3 linked regions of the Diceros bicornis minor genome follow. The protein of the gene in region 1 binds, or shares a complex with, the protein of each later gene. Links are inferred from orthologs where the notes say so. Each region holds a gene or a part of one and is shown in the gene's direction. Other genes may lie near its edges.

What was found.
Region 2: the proteins of CSK (region 1) and PAG1 are in contact, whole or in part, in an NMR structure (PDB 2RSY), measured with the Rattus norvegicus proteins. The link is inferred for Diceros bicornis minor from reciprocal best matches to the Homo sapiens genes CSK and PAG1. Residues at the interface, in NP_001025210.1 of Rattus norvegicus: Thr88, Arg89, Glu93, Arg107, Ser109, Thr110, Asn111, Tyr112, Thr117, Cys122, Glu123, Lys125, Val126, Glu127, His128, Tyr129, Arg130, Ile140, Asp141, Tyr156, Asp161, Gly162; in NP_071589.1 of Rattus norvegicus: Phe291, Ser292, Leu294, Tyr296, Lys297, Ser298, Arg299, Glu300, Glu301, Leu305, Ile310, Met313, Tyr314, Ser315, Ser316, Val317, Asn318, Lys319.
Region 3: the proteins of CSK (region 1) and PTPN22 are in contact, whole or in part, in an NMR structure (PDB 1JEG), measured with the Mus musculus proteins. The link is inferred for Diceros bicornis minor from reciprocal best matches to the Homo sapiens genes CSK and PTPN22. Residues at the interface, in NP_001291690.1 of Mus musculus: Phe20, Thr23, Gln26, Ala40, Val41, Thr42, Lys43, Asp44, Asn46, Trp47, Ile59, Pro61, Asn63, Tyr64; in NP_033005.1 of Mus musculus: Pro614, Pro615, Leu616, Pro617, Glu618, Arg619, Thr620, Glu622, Ser623, Phe624, Ile625, Val626, Val627.

Annotation. Positions count from the first base shown.
Region 1 is NC_080744.1:67,716,478-67,723,996, forward strand, and holds the start of CSK (tyrosine-protein kinase CSK), read left to right. Parts: upstream 1-4,210; 5' UTR 4,211-4,680; intron 4,681-7,519. UniProt on the Homo sapiens protein: Non-receptor tyrosine-protein kinase that plays an important role in the regulation of cell growth, differentiation, migration and immune response.
Region 2 is NC_080772.1:31,709,071-31,717,570, reverse strand, and holds the start of PAG1 (phosphoprotein associated with glycosphingolipid-enriched microdomains 1), read left to right. Parts: upstream 1-5,380; 5' UTR 5,381-5,465; intron 5,466-7,305; 5' UTR 7,306-7,375; intron 7,376-8,500. UniProt on the Homo sapiens protein: Negatively regulates TCR (T-cell antigen receptor)-mediated signaling in T-cells and FCER1 (high affinity immunoglobulin epsilon receptor)-mediated signaling in mast cells.
Region 3 is NC_080743.1:46,479,476-46,487,479, reverse strand, and holds the start of PTPN22 (tyrosine-protein phosphatase non-receptor type 22), read left to right. Parts: upstream 1-4,520; 5' UTR 4,521-4,629; coding exon 4,630-4,716; intron 4,717-8,004. UniProt on the Homo sapiens protein: Acts as a negative regulator of T-cell receptor (TCR) signaling by direct dephosphorylation of the Src family kinases LCK and FYN, ITAMs of the TCRz/CD3 complex, as well as ZAP70, VAV, VCP and other key signaling molecules.

The DNA of each region.
Region 1 (7,519 bases):
GTCCCTGGTTCCCTGAGCCTTTAGGAGCTGTGGTATCAGCGTGGCCATCCAGCCAAGCGGCCCCTGGTGTTGAGATGGCAGGGGCCACAGTGGCCACTTGCTTTCTCCTGGTTTCTGGCCTTCCCTAAGACTCTCAACCGCAGGCATTGGTCCTGTCTCTTTCCCTTAGGCCCCCTTTCCACTGCTTCCGCCCCTCGGCCCACCTCCACAAGTCAGTGAGACCCTGCAGCAAGGAAGTGGCATTCACACCAGGCCTGAGTGACCCCAAAGCCCATGCCCTTTTTGCTTGGTCTCACTGCCTCCCAGGTGTCCCCATGTGCTGTTTCCTGTTGGTGCCTCTTTCGCAGTGACCATTCCTTCCCCTTCCATGGCCTCTTTCTGGAGGAAGCTCATTCCCCAAGGGCCTAGCAGGAGCTCCCTGGTGGGGATGGTGATGACAAGGTCAAAGAACAGCTCCCAGAGGGCACGGGGTGCCCAGAGGTGCTGTCAGCAAAGGAAGCTGCTCACAGTCAGCTCGCCCTGAGCACCTGCGCTGCAGGAAGTGAAGGGGACTTTGCTGGAAATCTGCCTTTAATCTTGGCTTCCTGTTTTCTGCCCTGGGGGACCGCCCAGAAGGTCTGAGTTTCAAACTATTTCACACCAGCTTCTCTAAACTGTCATCTCAGAGCAAAGAGGCTGGGGGAGGGGAAGAGGCAGGGCAGAGTGAGGAGAGCCCCTTCCCTTCCCAGGGGACCCTGGGAACAGAGCACAGTCCACCCATTAAGGTGCTTAACCTCTGGACTTCTGGCCACCGCCAACCAACCTCACTTTGCATCGAGCTAGCCCAGTGGGCCCGCATCATCAAAACGCAGCCAGAAGTCTGTGCTCCGTTCCCCATATCCAGCGGTCTCCAGCCTCTCTCTTTTCTCCATTCCCCCAGGGTGGGCCCCACCAGCCAGCGATAAGTAGCCCAGCCTGGGAAAGCTAGCGCTTGAGCCTACCTGGCTGGAAGGGGGCTCCTCCTAAATTTCCTCCCCAATCCTAAAACCCGAGGACGCTTCTCTGATGATTTCCTACCCTGAAGCGCGCTGAGTGAGGAGGCTGTTTCGTGCTCCAGGCTTTGGAGGTCCTCAGAGCTCAACCCCAGTCCTGGAGGTGGACTCTAGAAAAGTTCTTGTTGGAGCCTCAGGGGCCTTGTCTGTAAAATGTGGCTCCAAACGCCAACTTGCCATCTCCATGTCTCAAGGGGTCTTCAACTCAGTTTGTCCAAAATCCAGCTCTTGAGCGTTACCCCCAGCCTGCCCCTCTCCCAAATCCTCCCTACCTCAGCAGAGAGCACACTGTTTCCCACCTGCTCCAGCCACACCTGAGAATCAGGCCTGCCTTCTCCTGTGGCCTCACTCCCCACCAACAGCCCCTCACCGAGAGCTGTCAGGTGGCTCTCCTTTGTCCCGGGGCCCATGCCCATTAGCCCTGCCTGGACTATGCGAAGCCTCCTCAGTGGTCTCTTGACCTTCCCTCAATCATGTCACTCCCCTGCTTGAAATCCTTCAATGCCTCCCCATTGCTCATATAATACAGTCCGAACTTGTGTAATAGAATCCTTGCCCACAAGGCCCTACAGGATCTGGTCCCGTCCTCTTATACCACTCTCACTCGCTTGCTGGTCTCGTCACCTTGGCTTCTGGCTGATCCTCAGGCCACTGAGCCCTCTGTGCCGGTCTCCCCCAGTCCTCTCTCCTCCATCAAATATTCATTGCCTTCATACCAGGTGTCTGACTGGCCTGCTGACTTATTTATCCTATTGGGCAAGAACCACGGTGGTCTTGCTCACGTCTTCATCTCCAGCATCCAGAACGGTGCCTACACTTAGTAGGTGATCAGTAAGCACTTATGAGTGAGCGAATGAATGAACGAATGAATGGTGAGGTTGGAAGTTAACGGGCTCTTTCACTAGAGGACAGCTCTGTGGGGCAGGACCCTCCAGCGACGTGTCCTTTGTGCCTGGGGTTCAGGGAAGTTAAACAATGTTATTTCACTCTGCTGTGAAGAGGTGGAGCCAGGATTCAAATGCAAGTCCATTTGGCTCCAAAGTCCACACTCTGGGCCACAAGAAACCCAGGGAAAAGTCAAGTGTGTTCAGGGGTAAAGGAAGATGGGTTGCCGACAAAACTGGGACGGGGATCTGAGTCTTTTCCCCAAATCCCCACAGTCCTTTCCCATTTTGCCAGCTGATGCAGTTGTGGGAGGGGAGATATCAACTTCTCCCTTCCAGAAGCCATTGCAGAACTGCTGAAGTGCTTTCCTTTACGCTGAGGGGTGGCCCCATCTGGGCCCCACTTTATCATTCCATCTTGACCTCAGAGGAAAGAAAGGGAAACCAACTGAGCTGAGCACCCTCCCCACCCCCCTCACCCCAGGCCGTTATCTTGCTGAATATGCATCATCTCTCATAAGACTGGTATATTTTGAGTCTGATCTTACAGAAGAGGAAACTGAGCTCAGAGACCTTAAGTAACTAGCCAAGGTCACACAGCTAGTTAGTGGCCCAGCTGAGATTTCACTTTGAGATTTGAACCCCAAATCCACGCTTTTTTCCATTACACCATAGCTATCTCCGAGACTTACTGAATGTCTCCTCAAAGGGCAGGGCTGTGACCACTACCTTCCTCCTTGAAGGGCTGGCCTCTTCCTGGGAAGCTGGCCCAGGTGTGCATTGGGTAAGAGGACCAACCAGCGGCTTGTCTGGGGAGGCACACCCAACTGCTGCTCCTCCATTCGAGGCTCTTTGTAATCTGCAGCCACATTGTCTCCCCAGCTCACTCTCCCACAGGGCCCTCACTCCCTCAGCCCCTCACTTATTTTGAACTTCAAGACTTTGCCAGTACACCTCACTTCCCCCACTGAGAATGCCCTTCCTCTCTGCCCACCCAACCTCGACCCTTCTATCAGGGCCCAGGAAGTCCCTAGGAAGTGCCCTAATGCCTCCTACCTACACTGGAGTCTCTGGTCTCCCCCGCACCACTGCCCACCCCACTGTGTGCCCCCCACCACACACACGCACACCGTCTGCTCCTGTAGCTCAGAGCAGATCACCTCTTTGCTCCCCGTCAACAGTGATATATAATAACAGGCAATACTTAACTGAGGGCTGACCGCATGCCAGCTGCTGCACACTAAGCACGTCAAATGTATTAACTCATTTCCTCCCCACAAAACCTTAAGACATTGGTGCTATTTTTCCCCTCATTTTACCAAATGGGGAAACCAAAGCACAGAGAGGTTAAGTCACTTTGCCAAGGTCACACAGCTACTGACAACTTCCTCATTGCCTCCAAGCTGAAAACAAAGTCCATGAAAGTCCTACAAGGCTCTTTGGAGCTCTCTCCTCCCTGCAGCTTGCAGGGACCCTACCCCCCACCACTCTCCTGGACCCACACTGCAAACTGCAGCCATACTGGGCTACCCACAGCTCCCAGAGCCGTCAAGCTCTCTCACCTCTCCCTGCCTTTGTCCATGCTGTTACCTCTGCCTGGGTCCTAGCTCTCTGAAGTCTCCCATTAGCCCTCCCCTCTTTCCTGTTTCCTGTGGACATTGTACCCCAACTCTCCACTTCTATCAATTGTTTTTTTGCGCTTGTCTGTTGGCCTGTCAGTTCTCCTACTGAGAGTTCCTTGACAGTAATGAAGTGGTCCTACCAGTAGACTCCAGAACAGGGCCTGTGAGGTCGTCAGCGCCAGGAAATGTTTGTGAATGAATGAATGCTTACTGCTGCGAGTGAGGCCCACTCTCCACCAACAGACCCGAAGAGAGGGGACCACGTCTGGCCTCAATCGCTTCTTCCTCGGGGAGGCTGCGCCCAGAGAAGGCTCAGAGGGTGCTCCAAGGCAGGCTCTGCGAGGGACCTCCGGGAGCCGTCAACACGGGCAGGCAGGTGGGGGCAGGGCGTGGGCGCGGACACACCCCCCGCCGTGCCCCCGGCGCCCGGCAGGGGGCGCCGCCCAGCCGGCCCACGCCCCGCCGCGCACCGGGCAGGCCCCCTCGCGCAGGCGCGCTGCCGCGGGCGGAGGATCCGGGCCGCGCTTCCTCTCGCCAGGCCTGCGAGCTTCCTCCGAGCGGAGCCCCGGGCGAACCGAGCTTGGCCGCCGCCGCCGAGACCGCCGCCGCCCTCCCGCTCCCGCCCCACCCCACACTCCGCCCGGGAGTCCTGCCGGGGTGGGGTCCGAGCGGGCGACCGCCCGGCCGCGCCGCCGTCGGGGCCGTCCCCCGGGCGGCCGTCCCTCCCGCCCCAGCCAGCCTGTGGCCGCCGGAGCCTCCGGGGCGTGGAGCGCGGGGAGCCCCGCGGCCCGCGATCCAGCGTCCGGGGCAGCCCCCGGCAGTCGGCGCGACGGTCCAAAATCGAACCTCGGTGGCGGCGCTGGGAAGCGGAACTCTGCCGGGGCCGCGCCGGCTACATTGTTTCCTCCCCCGACTCCCTCCCGCCCCCCTTCCCCCGCCTTTCTTCCCTCCCCGACCCGGGCCGCGCGGCCATCCCCCTGCCTCTGTCTGGCCGTCCCTCCTCCCCCTTGTTCGCACCCATACCTCTTTGTACCGCACCCCCTGGGGACCCTTGCGCCCCTCCCCCCTGGCTGCATGGACTGTCCCGCAGGCCGCTGATGCTGCCCGCAGCGAGGTGGCCCGGACCGCAGTGCCCCGAGAGAGGTGAGTGCTTCCCGGGGCAAGGAGGGTGGAGGTCGCACGTCCCGCTTCTGTTGCCGCTGTTGCAGCTGCCGTCGCTTCCACTCCCATCCCCCACTCCCTTGCCCCCCTCCTTCCCGCGTTCGAATTCTCCCGGGAGTCACTGTCAGCCCGACTGGGAGGGGAGCGCACGAGGGAGGTACTGCCCTGCGAGCCCCACGGACTTGTCTCAGGCCACCACTTGACTGTCTTCACCTTACCCCCGTGTGGGGCCTGGCTGGAGCTTGGAGGGAGGGGGTCAGCATGGGCCAGGGCCCTGGAAAACGGACAGTTTGCCATTCGCTGTCCAGGGCCCCCCACAGGTTCTTCGGCCTGCCTGGTTCTGACCCCTCCTTCATTCCTCCACCGAGGCCCTGCCGGCTTCAGAAAGCCCAGGGCCCAGCCACCTCCCTTGAACCTGCCAGAGGGTGAGCCTCTCACTCTGGGCCTCCCTGAAGACCAGGCCTAAGCCAAGGGACCTCTGACCCTTGGGTGGGGAAACTGGGCAAGGCCTCTGTCCTGGGTGGAGGTGACACTGGGCATTAGGACCATGCCCCCAACTCCTGGCAGCCTGGTCAGCCCATTCTCCCAGCCTCCTCAGGGCCCAGGCCAGGTGTCAGGAAGGGGCGTGCCCAGCCACCAGATCCTTGGAGCTTAACTAAGCGTTCACCTCCTCTCATTTTGTAGATCAGGGAACTGACACTCAAAGGGGGAAGTTGCTACCCCAGGCCTCTGGCAGAGTTAGGCCGTCCCTCCTTTCATCCCCTTCTCTGCAGAGTTGGACTGCTGTGGGTGGAGGGAAACTAGGGAGGCACCCTCACCCACCGGGGACACAGGGCCCCAGCCTGGCCCAAGGGACCTTGTGGGGTGAGCACGTGCTCCCCTGCAGAGGGCTGGAGAGGAGGGAAAGGGCTTCCGGCCCCAGCTCTGCCTGGGTCTGGGCTCAGGCAACATCGGCACTGCTTGTGGGATTTCCCCTGGTGCCTGAGGCTGGGTCCCACTGGCAGGGGATATGGGGGCACTCGTGTGGTGTAGCCCTGGTGCTGAGCTGAAACAGCCTGGTGGTCAGTCCCGACCCAGCCTTCCCACACTTTTGGCTCAGCTGGTATAGGAGCAGCCAAGGTCAGAACGTGAATGGGATCTGGAGGGGGAAGGTGAGAGCCCTGTTTCCACAGGGAGCACCCTACAGCCTTGGCATAGGAGCATTGTCAGAGTGGGGACACCCACGGCGCCTGTTCCAAGTTCTCAACGCCCTGGGGGGTCCCAATGTCTTTGTTGGTGGGGCCGCAGCAGGAACAGAGGGAACGCACCAGAAGGGCGATTGGGAGTGTGGCAGGATCCTCTTGCTTTTGGAAGGATGAGGGTTCCCTGGAGGATGCTGAACCGTGTCTGGGGCCCCTTGGGGCCCCTGGCAGTTTTGTCCTGCTTAGGCCTCTGCCCTTGATTTAGAGTTTTTTCTGGTTGCCCTGACATGCACAGTGGACGGGACCCAGATGTGGGCCTGTGAGGTTCCCCTCACCCAGCTCCACACCCAGCCCTAACTTCCTTTCCAGCCTAAGGGGCTGGGGCTGAGGCCTGCCATGGTTGGGCGCTTTTATACCAACTGTGAGCTGTACGGTGCAGCCAGTGTCTCCGGTCCTTTGTAGAAAGGGGTCTGGCTTCAGGCTAGCACTTATGCCGGGATGTGTTTTTTATTTGGTGAGCTTGGTGCCTGCCTCCCTCCCAGAAGTGGCTCGTCTTCTCTCCGTGTTGGGTCGGGGGCAAGAAAAGACCAGGAGACAGTCTCCAGCACCACTGCAGGGGGCACTGGTCCCCAAGAGGTTGAGCCACCGCGGAGCAGCCCAGAGTAGAGGCGGGGGCTGAGGCCCAGGATCCAGTGTGACGTGGCTGCCCCAGCAAGCCGCCAGGTGGTCTGATTGGACAGGATGGCCCGGGTCCAGTTCTGGGCTCCATCTTTTGAGGAGTTTTGAAGCCTTGACACAGTCTCCAAAGAACAGAGATGTTTGGTCTTGTAAAGAGAAGGTAGGGAGAGACTCTCACGTGTCTGAGAGGATGTCCTGTCTCGTCTTGGAAAGGCCGTCCCGTGGTAGAAGACTAGAAGACATGCCAGACACCAGGGCCAGAGCTGGGGGTCAGGCAGGTCCCAGGGAAGCGAATCTGAGCTCCTTATGAGAACACTACGTATGTATTAGTTTTCTTAATTTAGAAAGTAACAAAACAGCACTACAGGAAATTTAGAAAACAACACAAAAAACTGCTATTTCCCCACCGGCGCCGTGACTGTTAGCATCTCGGAGTTCCCTGCCAGCCTCTCCTAATTTTTTTTTCCCTCGTCGCTGTTGTCATTTGAATGTGCATGCCATGACACCTTTTTTCATCTAATACTGTGTCTCTGGGCATTTTCTCATGTTGCTACACGGTCTGTGTCACTTTGCCTCTAAAAAGCTACAGAATATTCCAAATAGCTCTGCCACAGCAGCCTCACCCCAACCCTCTTACTAAGCGTGTGCACTGTTGCTTCCCATCTGTCGTGCTGTTGTGGTGGTTGTTACTACAGGCCCCAAAGCAGCCAGGGGTGCCGGGGAGAGTGGGCAACTTGGCACCCAGCCGACGTGGGTTCCAGGCCCAGCTGTGCCATTGAGGCCAGAGTGGAGGGACCTTGGACAAGTCAGTCTCTGAGCCCGAGTTCCTTTGTGTACACAGCGGGGACGGTGATCCTGCTTCAGAGGGGAGTGTGCGCACAGTGTGAACTAACCAACCGAGGTCCTAGAATGTGCCGAGCACAGCCTCTGGCCTCCAGTAGGCACTATGTGAGGAGGGGCTG
Region 2 (8,500 bases), on another chromosome or scaffold:
ATTAGGAGGAGAAAGATCAGAAGATTCAACCATTGTCCTAAAATGACCTGTAGTCCAGATAACTAGTTCTAAAATGTTAGTACACATAACATATATGAGGCAATAGATTCTGACTGACAAGTTCAGAAGGACTGCATAAGTCTTGAAAAATGGATTCTAATTGGGCAGGTGGGGATGGAGAACATGGTCCCAGCAGAGACAACAGCTTGGTAGCATATCCAGGGCAAGAGTCACAAACTCGGGTGGGTACCATAAGTGAGTGACATGAGCCAGAGGATCTCAGAGCCCTCTCAGAAGGTCAACAGTTTGATAGAGATGTGGGTAAAACTACATCCCTTTCCTTTAACTCTACTTTAAGAACAAAAACAGGGCCATGCAATGATTAAAAGCAGCCAGGCTTGGCTGTAGTATCTGGGAGACCTTAGGGAGTGGTAAGGATTGTGGCAAGCAGGGAGTTCATGCCTCATCTAAAGGGCAGCAGCTAAATAATTTCATTCAGTTGCTGCTTTTTGAGAATTTGGTAATGTGAATCCAGTGCTGGCAGATTTTACTTTCCACTTACTATACGCCAGGTAGGCCCTGTTCTAAGTGCTTAATAGGCGATTTAACACAACCCCAAAGATGCAGTGAAGTTTTCCTAAAACCTGATACTTCAGCCAATTCATGGTAGGCTTCCTGGGATGTGCCGTTCAGCAGTATCTTCTCCTCGTCCTTTTTTTTCTTCATCTTTTCTGATCTTTTCTGAGGTACTTTGTACCCCCAAAAGATGGGCTGACGTTCTCTTATAACGGATGTTGCCTTGAGGCAGAGGAGAGTGCTCTAGAGTAAGTCTGTGCCCTTCTGGCTCTCTCTGATACGGTGCTCTCTCAAGGTTTGTTTAGGAAGTGGTACCCACAACATAGGTCAGTCTTTGTCTCTAGCTAATCTAAACAATGTGCTTTCAGCAAAATTTTCAACATTCTTTCAAACTTTTACGCCAAACCTAGAATTATTGCCTCAATTAATCTTTTGTGTTCTTAAAACATCCTTTCTTCATTGCAGTGCTTTTCTTTTAATGTCCAACAAATTCCTTTCTGATTTCTAAATGTGCAGGAAAAAACGTACGGTTGTGGGAACAAGTATAGCCAATCTTTTCATACCTGGAGAAATTAATATTTTTTCCAGAAAAGTGACCATATCTTGGGAGGGTACCAGCTGGTATTCAAATATGAGTCAAGACAGATGTCTGCCATATGCAGACCTGATTAAGATGCACATCAGTCCTTTTCAGCCTTTTGGAAAATACAAGTGACACAACAGTGATGGAATTTGAATATCATTGAACGTTCTTTACTAACTACATTTTGTGGCTGAAGTCTAGGGGAAAAACCCAAATAAAATTCTTCTAATTACAAATCGATGACTCCTAATCTGTATAGGAAGTCTATAATATGGCTGGGCAGGGAAGTCGTGGAGGGAACTGGTTTAAAAGATGCAGTGACAAACCAGCATATCAACAGCAATTCAAAGACGTTTTTAAGAGTTTTCAAATAGTTCTGTTTTTTTCTTCTTCTTGGAATGCATATCCTTAAAGGTTTGAATTATGTTCATCTGGTGGGACTCTAGAACTCCAGGGCAGAGCCGTGTGTGAGTCAGGACTTAGGAGCATTTAGTGAAAGTAGGAAATAGAAATGAAAGGTGACGGGCAGCCTGGGCTGCGTCACTGGGCCTGAAATGTGCAAAATGTGGGATCCAGGTCTCAGCCAAGAGTCGTGGTGTCCGGTTCCACACACCATCACGGTGTGGTCTCTCCTCTTTGGCTGTGTGTAGTGAGCAAGCCCGCTACTGGAAGATGGGTTTCTGGATTTCTATTTCCAGCATCTTGTGTGTGTATTCAAGATGTTGAAAGAATAAAGGCCTCTCTGGCAAACAGAAACGACCGGTGTTCTTGGCAAGCTGGCGATTGTTACTGATTTGCAGTTTAATTCTGGAGACCCACCGAAGAATAATTTAAGGAGGAATATTCCTGAAGGAGCAAGAGGAGGTGGAAATTTGAGGTCAGAAGGTACAAGCCACAGTTCTTCTGAAGTCCTTGAACTAGATGGTTCTCTAGTCTGTGCTTCTCAGACCTTGATGTGCCTACAGATCGCCTGGGCATCCTGTTCACCTGCAGATTCTGATTGAGTAGGTCTGGGTGGTGCCCGAGATTTGCCTTTCTAACAAACTTCTGGATGACGCTGATGCTGCCCGGCCACAGACCACAGGTTTAGCCAGCTCTTCATGATCTCTAGGCCCAAGCTTCCATTAGCTCTACCATTCTATGCGAGTCTGCTCATCTGATATTTCAGAAAGACAGGAAGGTTCCAGGAAACATGCCACCATGGTATTAACTATTCTGATTCTTCATAATCATCTTCATCAAAAACCCTTTAAGTGCCTAATTATGCATAACAGTTTCACATGCTTTACAAAAAGGACTAAATAGATTTGGTCCCTGCCTTATCAGACTTGACAACCTAAGACAGAGAGAGAAATAGGCATAGAGACAGTAATAAATATTGAGGCAGTAATAAATAGTGAGTGATAAATATTCATCCAGATGCAGAACATATTAAAGTAAAAAGCTTATGAATTTAGCGTGGGCCTTAGAATATTTATTTTCTTACAGCTTTTGTTCCTTTTAAAATCTGGGAAACCGAAAAGATTGCCCTGCAATTTTTACTTAAAAACAAGAGGTTTCTGTTTCTATTTTACAGATGGGGGTGGGGAATGGGAAGATCAGTTTCTGAGGCTTCTTTTGTTGTTGTTATTGTTGTTGTTTGTTTATTTTGGCCTCACTAACTTCAAAAGAAATATTTCATCAGCCCCACATACCTAACTCTAATTGCCATGTGCAGGTGTGTTGGCCTGATTTTATGTTGCTCAACGCTGTGAATGTGGACATAGGTTCATTAACCTCAGCTCTTCCTACCCAAGGGCCTTGGGCCCATCAAGTCATCCACATGCTATCCTTGGGCACCAGAGGAGGCAGGGCCAGACATTGTTATCTCTGAATTGTGGGCAGTAAACTGGTGTGTCCGAAGTCTCATGGTACTTAACTCACACAGGAGGTTTTGAATTTGTTTCTCTTTCCTCTGTTCACTTGCTGAACTGACCCAAGGGCTCAGCTGCCTTGGTGGAGGAAGGGATCAGATGAGTGGACATTGCTAGCATTTTCTCTTGCCGGCAGAACAGATTCTGTTCTTGGAGGCCAGGCCACCCACCCACCAGAGATTGCATTCAGGTACCCATGGTGATGAGCAGGTTTGTTATAACCATATCCCAGTTTAACAGAGTGATGCCAAACTGGCTTAGCTTATTAAGTTATTCTAGGTGAGAAACAGCTAAAAGAATTATCACAGATCTGGATAATATTTGCGTCTAACCAAGGGTGTCTGAATCAAATGTTTCCCAATTATGGGATTAGAGACCATTGGTTTATACCTTCTTGATTCAAGTAGGCACATATAATATTAATATTAATAATAGTAGTGGCTGTGTATATGCTTAGGGATGCAAGGATACAGAGAAAACTATACATGGGCACGCTCTTAGGGGACACCTGTGTGTTATCAAAAATGATGTGTGTGAATGAGGTGCTGCTTGGAGTCAAGTACGCTTGGGTTTGAAACTTGGCTCCACCACTCACTGGCTGAGCTACTTAACCTTTCCAAGCCTCAGTTTCCCCATCTGTAGAACCAGCATAACAATAGTCCAGGTCCCTTGGATTTCTCATGAGCATTACATGAGACGAGGATGTATGGAATTTGTAGCACACGGCCTGCAAATAGCAAGATTCATAACTGGTAATTATTAGTAATCATAATAAAACTATTACAAGTGCCAGCATCTGAAATCATTTGGGTCTTGAAAGAGAAGAGCGAGAGAGTCTAAATTTGGTATTTTTATAGTATTTCATGTGCGAGTATTTGTACGGGAGTTTGTATCTGAGTTAATGAAAATGTCACACTCTGTTTATTGAGAATAAAGCTGTTATTGAAGCAAAGCCTGCATTAATTAGGCTCAACCTCATCTTTCATTCTGTCATGTTGGATACAGCTGTTGTTTTCCTTGTTTTATGAAATTAACTATCAAGAGTGAAAGCAGTCTGCTCATATTACAGAAGATATAAAACCGTGAGTAGTTATTATTGCAGGAAGCTAAACCTTTAAAAGCCACAATGACAATACTATATATTTTGCGTTAGTGCCTGGTAATAGATCTATGTGAGCACGTGGAATTATGCAGGCTGGATCTAGGGAATTAAGTATCTGGTTGCCCTCTCGAAGACAACGAGAGCGGAGGGGGCTATCTGGAACTCGCTCTTAGAAAGCTAAGGGATGCCGTTTGCCTACAGACAGGGTGAGAATACGAGCGAGGGGCTCGGAGGGGCAGCATTCTTTAGTAAATGGAATCGGAAGCCTGCTAGCTATATCGTAAGGCTGCAAGGCGGACAGAGCAAGGGCGTGAGGCAGCTGGATGGAAACCAAGAAGCCAAAATGAGCCGTTTAAAGTGGGGGATAGGAAGCAGAGCCCCAGGGAAGTCCCTAACCTCAGAAACCTATTCAATGGCACCTTTTATAGGGTGCCTGCGGCTTCTGGTAGGGTGGAGGTTGAGCCAACTTGGCTCAAATGTAAGCCAGTTCTTCCTCAAATTGAGTTTGCCCGTGAGTCATCTGCTAAAATGAGGATTCTGGAGGGCCAGCCCAGTGGTGTGGCGGTTGGGTTCGCGTGTTCTGCTTCAGCGGCCTGGGGTTCACCGGTTCAGATCCTGGGTGTGGACCTATGCACGGCTCGTCAAGCTGTGCTGTGGCAGTGTCCCACATAGAAGCACTAGAGGATGTACGACTATGACATACAACTATCTACTGGGGCTTTGGGGAGAAAAAAGGGAAAAAAAGGAGGAAGCTTGGCAACAGATGTTAGCTCAGGACCAATCTTCCTCAAAAAAAAAACAAAAAATGAGGATTCTGATTCTGGAGGTACATGAGGTCTGAGTATTAGATGAGACCTCACACAGGGCCAAGAATACAGCAGGTGCTCAATACGTGTGCCTTCCCTCCTCTCTTCTCCCCCATCTGTGCCTTTTTGGATGGTCCCCATCCAGATTGCTGTCTTTTTGCATATTCTGGAAGTTAGATTATAAATATTATTATGTTTTAATAAGTCATCATTCATTTTAGACCAGTGATTCTCAACCGAGGGTGAGTTTGCCCTTTAGGGGACATTTGTCAAAATCTGGAGACATTTTGGGTTGTCACAGCTGGGGGGGGAATGCTAGTCCCTCAAAACAAAGAACTATGCAACCCAAAATGCTAATGCTCTATACTTTACACTGGTGTTTACAGTTTATTTCTTCTTCCAGTCTGTAAAAGAAGGAGAAGATTGAGAAGGATGTGACAGGCTGAGGACCCAGGTTGGGAAAGGTTGGAGGACCTACCTACCAGGTACCAGGATCCACTTACTCTTAATAAGCACACTACAGACGGTTTCCAGCTTAGAAACAGCTGCTTTATGAGATACTCATTTCTATATTAGTTGTTTAGCCTCTTAAAAAAAAACAAGCAAACAAACAACGTGGCAGAGGCATGGAGAACGCCGGATGGGAGATGACGATGATGGGACAGATGATGAGATATGATGCTGCCAGGATAAGCAGGCGCCATGACGGGGAGCTTGTCAAACCATGCCAAGTGGCTTGGGTTTTATCTCAAGAGCTGCAGAGAGCTGTGTGTATGGGGCTCTCACGCTCTTTCTGTACTGTAGTCACTCTGCATACTTCTGTTATTATTTATGTCTCTCTATATCATATATATTGGTCAGTTGGTCTCCTGAACTGGGCCTTACCACCTTTGCTTTTGTGCAGCACAGAGGTTTATCAGTAAGCATTTATTAGACAGATTTTGCAGCATCTCAAAATAGTGACATCTCCACTTTTGAACAGGTGCTAATCCCAAACACTTGACTCTGACGCAGTAGTTTAGAGCTTGAAATATATCTTCCTGGTTTTATAAATGCTGGGTTTTCAGGCTGCTGTGGAAACCTTCCAGAACCCACAGTGTTGCTGAGCTGAAATGCTTAGTGGTTCAGAATGGGGGATTTCCCAGTGAAAGGCAAGGAGAAGAGAATTTCCATTGCCTCTCTTTGTTGAAAGTGGACTCTTGGCAAATGTGGTCTTTACCCCTCTCCTCCTTCCCTGACATGTAACTCTCCTTCGCCTTCTACTGCACTTTTCTCTTGGAGCTCACATCCAGGAGGCTCTTCGAGCATGTGGGCAGGGGCCTCATGAGGTGGGATGGGGGTTGGGGAGCTCTCATCTTGCTGGCCACTGGAGAGTCTGACATGGCAGGTCATGGAGGGACCACAATCCTGCTTGTTGTCAACTTTACTCTTTCTCTTTGGTCTTTCTAGCATTGCTTTGTTTTTCATTCCTTTCCAAGAAATAACTTTCTTTTCCCCTTTAATCTTTACCAAAAAAGAAAAAAAATTGCATTGGTTTACCTCAGTGGATAATTTTTCTGAGAACATTGAGTCTAGTTGTTGGATCATTCTTTCGCTTTTTACTTCCACTTAGCATATTTTAAGATGCCTTCTTAGATACACAATCTACAAAAACAGAGTTTTAGATTTGAGATTACATTCCTCAAACTTGAATCACACATCCTCTCGGAGGAAGTGATCTTTGTAAGTGATACAGTTTTATCTTAAGCATAGAAAACCATGCTAACAAAAATATAGCATGTTTCAAGGTAAAGACATAAAATAATATGGCTAAGTCTATTATAGCAGTTATTACACAATTCTGTACGGTTTTGTTCCAGCCATCTTTGTTCTGGCAAGGCTGTCATCTTCTTGAGGTATGCAATCGAGGGTACCTTGCACAACTCAAAGGGTCCATGTTTGAGGTGTGTGGTGCTAACCCATAGTTACCGTCAGTGTCTGGGAGAAAGAGGTGGAATGAAGCAATGAGTAAAAAACAAAGCACGGGCATAATTATTAATCATTGAGAACACATGTGATTAATGCCATCATTTTTGCTTTCCTCCATATATAAAATTTGGGATAATGTATAGGTAGGTGATTGTTTTAAGAGCAAGTTTTAACTTATGTTTTTCAACATTCTTTTTTTATAGTATTAAAGTACTAAAGGTTAATTAAATAATTGTGAGCTGCTTTCTTTATTACTCAAAATTTTAATAAGAAAAAGTAATCATTTTGCCCTTAGTTATTGCAGTGTTACTTCAGTTCAGAATTTTGAAATTGTTTCCTCTTGTGTTTCCTTTCCAGAAAACACGAGGTCTTTCTCTTATTTCAACAGTTGAGTGCAACTTCAGAGCGCGGAGAGAGGGATTTCAAGGTATTCATTTATCTGCTTTTCTACATTCTCGCTTATTCAAGCTTGCTTTTACCTTAACTTTGTACAGGCGTCTGTAGTTTAGTTGGGGACTCTGAGTTGTAGAACTGCAGGCAAATAGCTTTGAAACTGGACAATCTCAAGGGTATTAGCTAGTCCAGTTTTCAATTTAGAACCGTGGGTCTTCTGCCATAGAGACCGAAACACCAGTGGTCATGCTTCCTTACAACATGGTGTTTCCCTGTGGTCAGTAAATGGGCACGACCTTAGCTCTGCCCTGTAATACCTATGTGAGATTGGGCAAAATGTCTACCCTCTCCATCTCTTTCCTCATCTTTGAGGTGGAGATAATAATCGGATAGCCTCATCAGTTTCCAGTTCCATGCAGTGCTCACCACCACTACCAACAACAATATATGAGGCTGTGTTTTACTGTTACTGTTATTAGTGGTATTAGTAATCTCATTTTGTGCTGATAATATCAAAATTCCTTAATGACCTTGGGTCATCCTTGAACAGAACTAAATCCAGAAAAAAATCATCCAACTGAAATGAACGACAGGTTAACACAAAGATGTTCTGTATCTGATTTTAGCAGTTGGTTTACTACATGGTTATCAATTTTTATAATGAATCCTGGACTTTGAAGTGCTATGTCCGTCCATTTAAAAGATTTACAGACCTCAAGCATTGTGACCTGACTGACCCCTATCCATCATATATCATTATCCAGTTCCTCTACAGGCTAGAAAGGAAGGGGTACATCTGGCCTGAATGTTCCCAGTCTCCTCACAGAAGGAATCTTGTAAAATAGGGCACTGTCTTTTAATGAAATCTTTCCTTCAACTTGTTGAGAAATTCTTTCTCAGGGCAGAGTAACCCTTTCTTCTTAGGAGAGCAGGGAGCAATTTCAGGGTCATTCTGGTTCCCCTCTAGGTCTTTCTAAATATAACTGCAGATCCTGGAAAACAGCCTGTGTCTTGTTAGTTAACTTAGTCTAAAGAATCAGTGCATTAAGAGCTTTGATGATCCACACTCCAAAAATGCCTTCCTCTGATCTCCCAACATTTGACAAGAATCTCGATTCAGGGGTTAAATATCGTTTTCCCTAATGCACTTCCGGTTCCG
Region 3 (8,004 bases), on another chromosome or scaffold:
AGGACTGTGTTTTTGAAACCAAAAGCAGAGTATGATTCTTTGTGTGGTATGTGGGAAGCTGACCATGATGTTCACAGCAGGTGAAATGAAGAGATTGATGAGGTCTCAGAATGCCGTAGTGACAAGAAGCAGATTGGAAGAGGGGTAGGGGTCTTCCCTGCTGTGGATGATGTGAAAACAAGAACAAAGCAAACAAGATTTGTTAGAGGTGTTTTATACACCTCTGTGTCTATTTATAAAAGGAGAAACAGTCTATCTTTATCTATCTCTATCTATCTAAACTCTATCTTTATCTCCGTCTATTTTGGAGATAAAGGAGGTCATTTTTTTCTGGCCATTGCAGCCCTTTGGGGCTGGACTCTGTGCCTCAGTAGGGGCACCATTCCTTTCATAACAATATCCCTGCTGCTTGGGCAGCAGCACTCAGGGAAGTACTCTTTGTCAGGTTCCTGGACCTCCCTGTAGGGAAGGCCCATCTGCTCCTGGCATAGTGAAAGTGCCTAGGCAGAGACAAACATAGACTGTGCAGGCAAGAGACCTGGAGTAATTGATGTAGTGAGTAACCAAGTCAGAGGGGATCTCTAACCAAAGCCTAACCACATTATACAGCATACTTTATCACAATAGACTTATTTTAGGTATGCTCAAGACCATGTTAAGCACTGTGGGTTATACAAATGCATAGAAGACACTATCATTACCTTTGATAAACTTAAAACTACAGGAGGCATTTTATGTGTTTTCTTTTGAATAAACTCCCCCTTTAAATAAACTTATGGGAGACAAGGAACACGTGAAGAAACTAAGAACACTTCTATAGCTGAATATAAAGATTTATATTGAAAGGATTCAGACTAAGAGAAGGTCATGGTGAGATGGCATTAGGGGCAGGATTTTTGAAGAAGAGAGTAACTAGGTTTTATGGCTTTATTTTCATCTTGGTGAAAATTAGGGGGAAAAGTGAGAAATAACAAAGGAAGGGGCAGTAGAATGAACAAGATTGTCTTTGGATGATGTGGTTGGATAGGTTGGGTGGGGACACTTGATGGGAAGGGCTTCGTGACAAGTTGAGGAATCTGGACTTGTTCCCATAGATTATCAGTAAGAACTTTGGTTCCTTAGCATTAAAGTGGAGTTTTAAGAACTTTCATCCGGGCTTGGTTAATAGGAGATACTAGAATAGAAGATATATAGATAGGAAGATAACTAAGAGCTTATTGCTACAGGAATACAGATGTGAGAATAGGAATGGTGGTTAACACGGGAATGCAAAAGACAGGTTGAATCTAAAAGACATTGAGGAGAACAGACCAATAGGCCCTGGTGGCCAAGAGGATGCTTACAAAGGACTGAGTGTTTCACAGATAATATATATAGCCCATATCAAATCAACGACCCTGGGATGGAGGGAAAGGCAGGAATAGCGAAACTAAAGCAAAGATTGATAAGTGGCTTCCCCAGGTAAAACATGCCTCCTCATAGAGAGAGAAGGGTGCTCTGAGAAACCTGAGTGCCTTTCCTATCGACTAGTTTATCTTGTCCTAATAATTTCCCCTGACATTCTCTTTGGTTAAAGTTTTTTGTAGTCTAATTCCCGACCTCCATGACAGTGATGTTTCCCCTTAAACTGGCACACTCTCTTCTTGTTGGAGCAGGTGACAGTGTGATCGGCACTCCTCTCTGTTGTCATTTTCCTTCTGAGCAAACACCAGAGCCACATGAGGCAGCAGTAAGATGTTCCTTCCTACTCCTCTTCAGGTGCTCATTCAATTTTACTTTCCACTAGAACTCACCCTTAATGGTTCTGACAAAGTGTTTATGAGTCTTCTACTGCATGGAATTGTTGTGTTCACTTAGGGTTCATTCCAGACTGGTTTAAATGTTTCAGAGTAAATTCTTAGGTATTTGCCAATCTTTGCTGCATGACTTGTTTCCCCTCCCCAGCTCTTGATCCTCCCACAAGATACAAATGAGTCAACAGAATCTTCATCAAAAACCATTATGCTTCTCTTGCCCTCCACTATCTGTAGAAGGAAGTGTGAAAAATTAAGTGGTAGTTTAGATTTGTTAAAAATAAAACTGAAGTTTTTTGTCTTCTCCTTTAGTTTGTTTTTTGCTTGCTTGAGTGGTCTGCTCAGGAAATGCCCTTTTAGCTAAGTGGGTTTTTGAGGTTTGGTTATTTCACGATGTTTCTATATCTTTTGGTTTTAGAGTAGAACAGACTCCTAACAATTGCTGCTTGCTTTTAAAAAAGATCTGCAGCTCTGCTAAGATACTATTTTCAGATCCTTATATTTTGGGTAAGTGGACTATGGAAGGCATCTAAGCAAGTTTTTCTTTCTTATCTCATATCTATCTCCATCTTATCCCTCCCTAAGAAGAGAATAAAGTTAGAGAGAGATTGTTCTGAAAGTGAGCTTGAGAAAAATAGATTTAAATTTTATTTTATTAGGTATCTTTTTGTGTATCAATTAGTAAAGTTCTAGTTTTGATGGAAGTGAAGACATTCTAAGGGGACAGAGAGATTATAAAACTGTGTATCTCTTATTTGTCCAAATACAGAAAATCATTTTCCTTTTAGGGTGATGCTTTGCTACTCTGCAAATAAGTTAGTTTGGAATGTTTTTATTTTTATCAGTAAATATGTCTATATTTTTAGTTCTGAGATGCTTTATTAACTGGTTAGGAGTGCTTTTCACCATATTCTGTTTTGTTCACTATTGTATACCCAGCCCCTAACATAGTGCTTAGCCTTTAGTCCTACTAAATTTGTCAAACAAATTAATGGACTTTTGTGTTTTTTTCTAACTAAAAAAATGGTATAATAATTTTGAAAGAAGAATTTTAAAAAGCATCCTTAATCCCAGCACTTACACAATTGATTCTTTTTTGCATCTTTTAGTCTTCATTTAACTATGTACATACTTTTACATGGTTTTGGTTATTGGGAACTTGAAATTTTGTACTTTTAAAATATTTCCCATATTTTATATGTTTTAAAATAGCCAAATTAAACCTTGCATTATTTAAAGCAACAAGAAATTTTCCTTTTATGCTAGATGGGGATAATTTGAGAAATACTATCTTATTCTCAACAAATATTGTTGAAGAATTATGGTTCATTTTAATTTATTATGTGGCTTGGGATTGAAATTCTTTATTGGCTTCACATTGCCTATAAGCAAGATACGTTAATGACCTTTCCTTTCCTGTTGTAAGGCTCAATAAGGTGGATGCAGCCTAATACTGTTCAGAATCATGATTTCCTTAAAGGGAATTTGAATAATGTTGCAAAACAGAAAGGATTGCTAATATCTTAAATAGAGGAAGTTCTAACAGCACATTTCCCAGTTTTCTTCAGGATATTTCTGACTAATTTTAACATATTATTTATTGAACTTCTGTCCTTAAACAGAGATGATATGCTGATTTTTGGTTGTTCTCATACTGAATGAGACACTCTTGGGTAGGTTTGTACCCGTTGAGGAGAGAATTTATACAAGCTGAGATGTGGAAGCTTTTTCTAGAACAGGCTGCCTGTCAGACAGGGCCAAAATGCCACAGGTATAGCGTGGCTTCCTGAAACAATGGCCTTTTCCAAGGCAGGTTGCAAAAAGTAGAAATGTCTTCTCAAGAAATAGTTCTTCAGGCTTTCTGCCCTGAAAGTTATACCATTGTCAGCAAGGTGGTTGATTTTACTCTTTTTCTGTTCCTTCATTGTTTACTAGATTACCTAAGGGGATATTGTGCCAACTTCCTGATCAGGTGCTCCTCATGGGGGCCACTGTGCTCCTGGATCCTATATAGACCAATACTCTGTCTTTATATCCAGGACCCAGGTGAAGCTCAAAAAGTACTGGAGGGTGGGGGAGGTCCTGAAATCAATAAGACTTCCCTTAACGGAGATCAGCACTTCCCCAGCCCTGGGAGAGACAAAGACTGTCAGGAGCAGCTGACTTTGCTTCATCCAAAAGAGGTTTGAGTTCTATATGGCAAACTTAAAAGTTCTGAATAAAAATGCCTTCTCTGATGAACAGAAGTTTGCCATTGATCACACTGACAAGAAACTTTTGAGAGAACAGTACAGGTAGAAGACATCTTAACTCCAAACAGTGTCTATCTCCCCTTCTGGGCCTAACTCAACTTTGCAGAGTTCATTTGGGACAAGAAGAAACAGAAGGTGTCAGCAGGGCCTTTGTGCTCATTGGGGAAATGGGGTGAAGCAGAACCCACACATGAGACCTGTAATTCTTCCTTTTCTCTAGGAAGCAAGAAAAAAGGTGAATTTTGCTTAAGGGTGATGGAGTGGAACAGTCTCAGAGCTAAGCAGACCACATGCTATGTTCTGGTTAGCCTCTTGTTTGTTAAAAACTTGAATTGTAACCAGGCTCCTTCCTTGAAAAGGAAGGCGCTAGGGCCCTGGAGTGAGATGATGGCTTTGTTGTGTGACCACAGAGGCTGGTTACGTACTAATTTCCTCTAGGGCTTGTGATGAAGTCAGTAAACCACAGCCTTCAACATGTTCTGTTCAGGCGGCAGCAGTTGCTTCTCGGTGGTGTCTCGGCCATGACACACATTTGACATGCCTTCCCTTAACTCACTCATAGACTGTCTCTCTTGCCCTGCAGCATGGACCAAAGAGAAATTCTGCAGAAGTTCCTGGATGAGGCCCAAAACAAGAAAAGTAACAAAGCGGAGTTTGCCAATGAATTTCTGGTGAGTCCTACGTGTGACACTCTCAGGGTAGTTACACAGACTATTTAACTGACTATGATGGTCCAACTCTCCTAGACCAAATTGCTCTTGGGAATAAAGTAAATATTAGACCTTGCAGAAGAAGGGAGGAAGGCAACCTAAAAGTTTGACTTTTCTGAGTGGTTTGTGTGCATCTTAGAAATTCTCTCCAAAATACTGTTTTTAGTATTTTGTTTGCTAGTTCTTAGAGTTTGACTAGGAATCTTACAGAAGACATATATAACTCCAGGTGTATAAATACTAACGCTAACTGAACATTGGAGTTCTCAGGTGTCTGAGTTGTGGTTTATGCCTCAAATAACTAGTTTTAATTAATATTAAGAGGAAAGAGACCAAGATTAACTTTTCATGGAACATTATTTTTTAGCCTCCCTGTGGGATTCCATTTGGATGACAAAGGCTCTTGAAGAGCACCAAAACTGCCTGCTGCCACATTTCTTTATCTTTTCTTTCCTAGAGGAAAAAAATAGAACATGTATTTTTACAATAGAGTTTTCTTAGCCTTGTTTTGCTTGGAAAGGTGGAATGGCTAGGATGGGGTATAGAGACAAGTGAGGGACATGGAGAGAAACCTAAGCACAAGGTAGCGTAAGGTCAACTAGATTTGATTACCCAGAGGATCACTGAGTCTCCTCTGAGGGAACTGTGGTGATTGATGCATGGCAGCTGGGTAGGCCTCATTCATCCTGTAACCGAGCACATCAGATGACGTCGGATATCTGATGGGACCTATTATGTATTTTGGAATACTCTCAGCTGGTGTTTCAAAGCTATAGGAACTTTAAACCTTCTTCATCTGTGAAGTGGGAAAAATAAGGGAATTGAAGTATAAAACCTGAAATTAAATCATGATTCTGTCATCAACCAAATTATCAACCATTTGACATGTTCCTTAATCTCCCCACATCTGTTTTCTAACTTCTAAAATGGGGATAATAATTCATGTCCTATCTATCCTCACAGGATTGTTGTGATGATTAAATATCAATATTAATAATAATTAAATGTGGTCATCCATTCAGTAATATCTATTGAGCACCTACTATGTACAAAGTTCAGTTCTAGGCACTGAGGATACAGCAGTGAACAAAACAAAAACCTTTGCCCTCATGAAGCTAACATTCTGGTACCAGATAGTAGATGTGAAAACATTCTGTAAAGTCTCGAGTGACTAGATATTATGATTGAGTGATTACATGTTATGATAGAAGCCCCTATGCCAGCTCAAGTTGGATAGTATCGTGGTGTCATGAAAAATGTGCTCTCATTGCCACTGGCCAGGCAGTCTGAGTCCCTCTGAGTAGATTTATCATGGAGGGAGGTAAGGGGGAAGTCCTGGCCTATGTGTCTGTTCAGACATGTGCCTGCCCCTGGACTATAATTTCTGAGCCAAATTCACCCAACACATAGAAGTAAAAAGTGACCTGAGGGGGTAATGCCAGCCTCTGTTTTATTTGGTTGTGTTTTTAAAAATTATGTAGACAACATCCCTAATACTTTACCTTTTCTTAGCTCAGTCATTATAATCTCTCACCAAATTATGGCAGCCACATAACATTCTGTTTTCTCTGCCTCTGGCCTTGCCCCACCTTCAATAAATTTTCTGTTCAACACCCAAGTGATCTTTTAACAATACAAATCTGGTCACTTTTTTCCCTGCTTAAAAACCTTTTCTAGTTTGTATTTTTTTCAGCTATTTAAAATTGTGAACTGTAATACACATTTAGAAAAGTACATAAAACATGTTAAGTATATAAAGCAACCACCACCCAGGTCAAGGAATTGAACAACCTGTCAGACCCCAGAAGACCTCTATGTATTCCTTCCCCCTTAGGTCCCTCACCCACACTCCCACCTCCACCCTGTCCTGCCCTGCCCAAGGAATAATCACTATCCTGACTTTTATATTAATCATTTCCTTGCTTTTCTAGCTCCTGATTTTAAGGACCTTGTTTTTGAGTGGTGATTAAGTGGAACTTCACTGTTCACTGACTCATGTCCTCCAGCGGAAAAACAGAGTTTTGCTCTCAGCCCCACCTAAAGGTTCAGCTGAGATACGAGAGAGAGTGGCTTTGGGGGTACTGGGGAGTGGTGAAGGGGCGTAGGTTGTGGCTTGGACAAGGTAAATACTACCATTAAATTGGAGGGCTTTCCATCTAGTCATGGAATGACCCACATCCCACTTTAAGCCTTTTAATATATTCTCCCAGGATTTGATGTTTCTGAGGTTTGACACTGAGCCACTGCTAGCCTAAATGGGGGTGCCTTTGTGAAAATTATCGAAAGTTGTCTCTACTTCCAGGTAGATACTCTGTGCACCCTGCCCCGCACTGGGTCCATGGCTTAGATTTTTTTTTTTTTAATTTTTTGTTTATTGCAGTAACATTGGTTTATAACATTGTATAAATTTCAGGTGTACATCATTATACTTCTATTTCTGCATAGATTACATCATGTTCGCCACTCAAATACTAATTACAACCCATCACCACACACATGTACCGAATTATCCCTTTCACCCTTCTCCCTACCCCCTTCCCCTCTGGTAACCACCAATCCAATCTCTGTCTCTACGTGTTTGTTTATTGTTGTTATTATCTACTACTTAATGAAGGAAATCATACGGTATTTGACCTTCTCCCTCTGACTTATTTCACTTTGCATAATACCCGAAATGTCCATCCATGTTGTCACAAATGCCTGGATTTCATCGTTTCTTATGGCTGAGTAGTATTCCATTGTGTATATATACCACAGCTTCTTTATCCATTCGTCCCTTGATGGGCACTTAGGTTGCTTCCAAGTCTTGGCTATTGTGAATAACGCTGCAATGAACACAGGGGTGCATGTATCTTTACGCATTGGTGTTTTCAAGTTCTTGGGATAAATACCCAACAGTGGAATAGCTGGATCATATGGTAGTTCTATTCTTGATTTTTTGAGGAATCTCCATACCGTTTTCCATAGTGGCTGCACCAGTTTGCACTCCCACCAGCGGTGTATGAGAGTTCCCTTCTCTCCACATCCTCTCCAACACATGTTGTTTCCTGTCTTGTTAATTATAGCCATTCTGACGGGCGTGAGGTGATATCTCATTGTAGTTTTGATTTGCATTTCCCTGATAGTTAGTGATTTTGAACATCTTTTCATGTGTCTGTTGGCCATCTGTATATCTTCTTTGGATAAATGTCTGTTCAGCTCTTTTGCCCATTTTTTAATTGTGTTGTTAGTTTTTTTGTTGTTGAGATG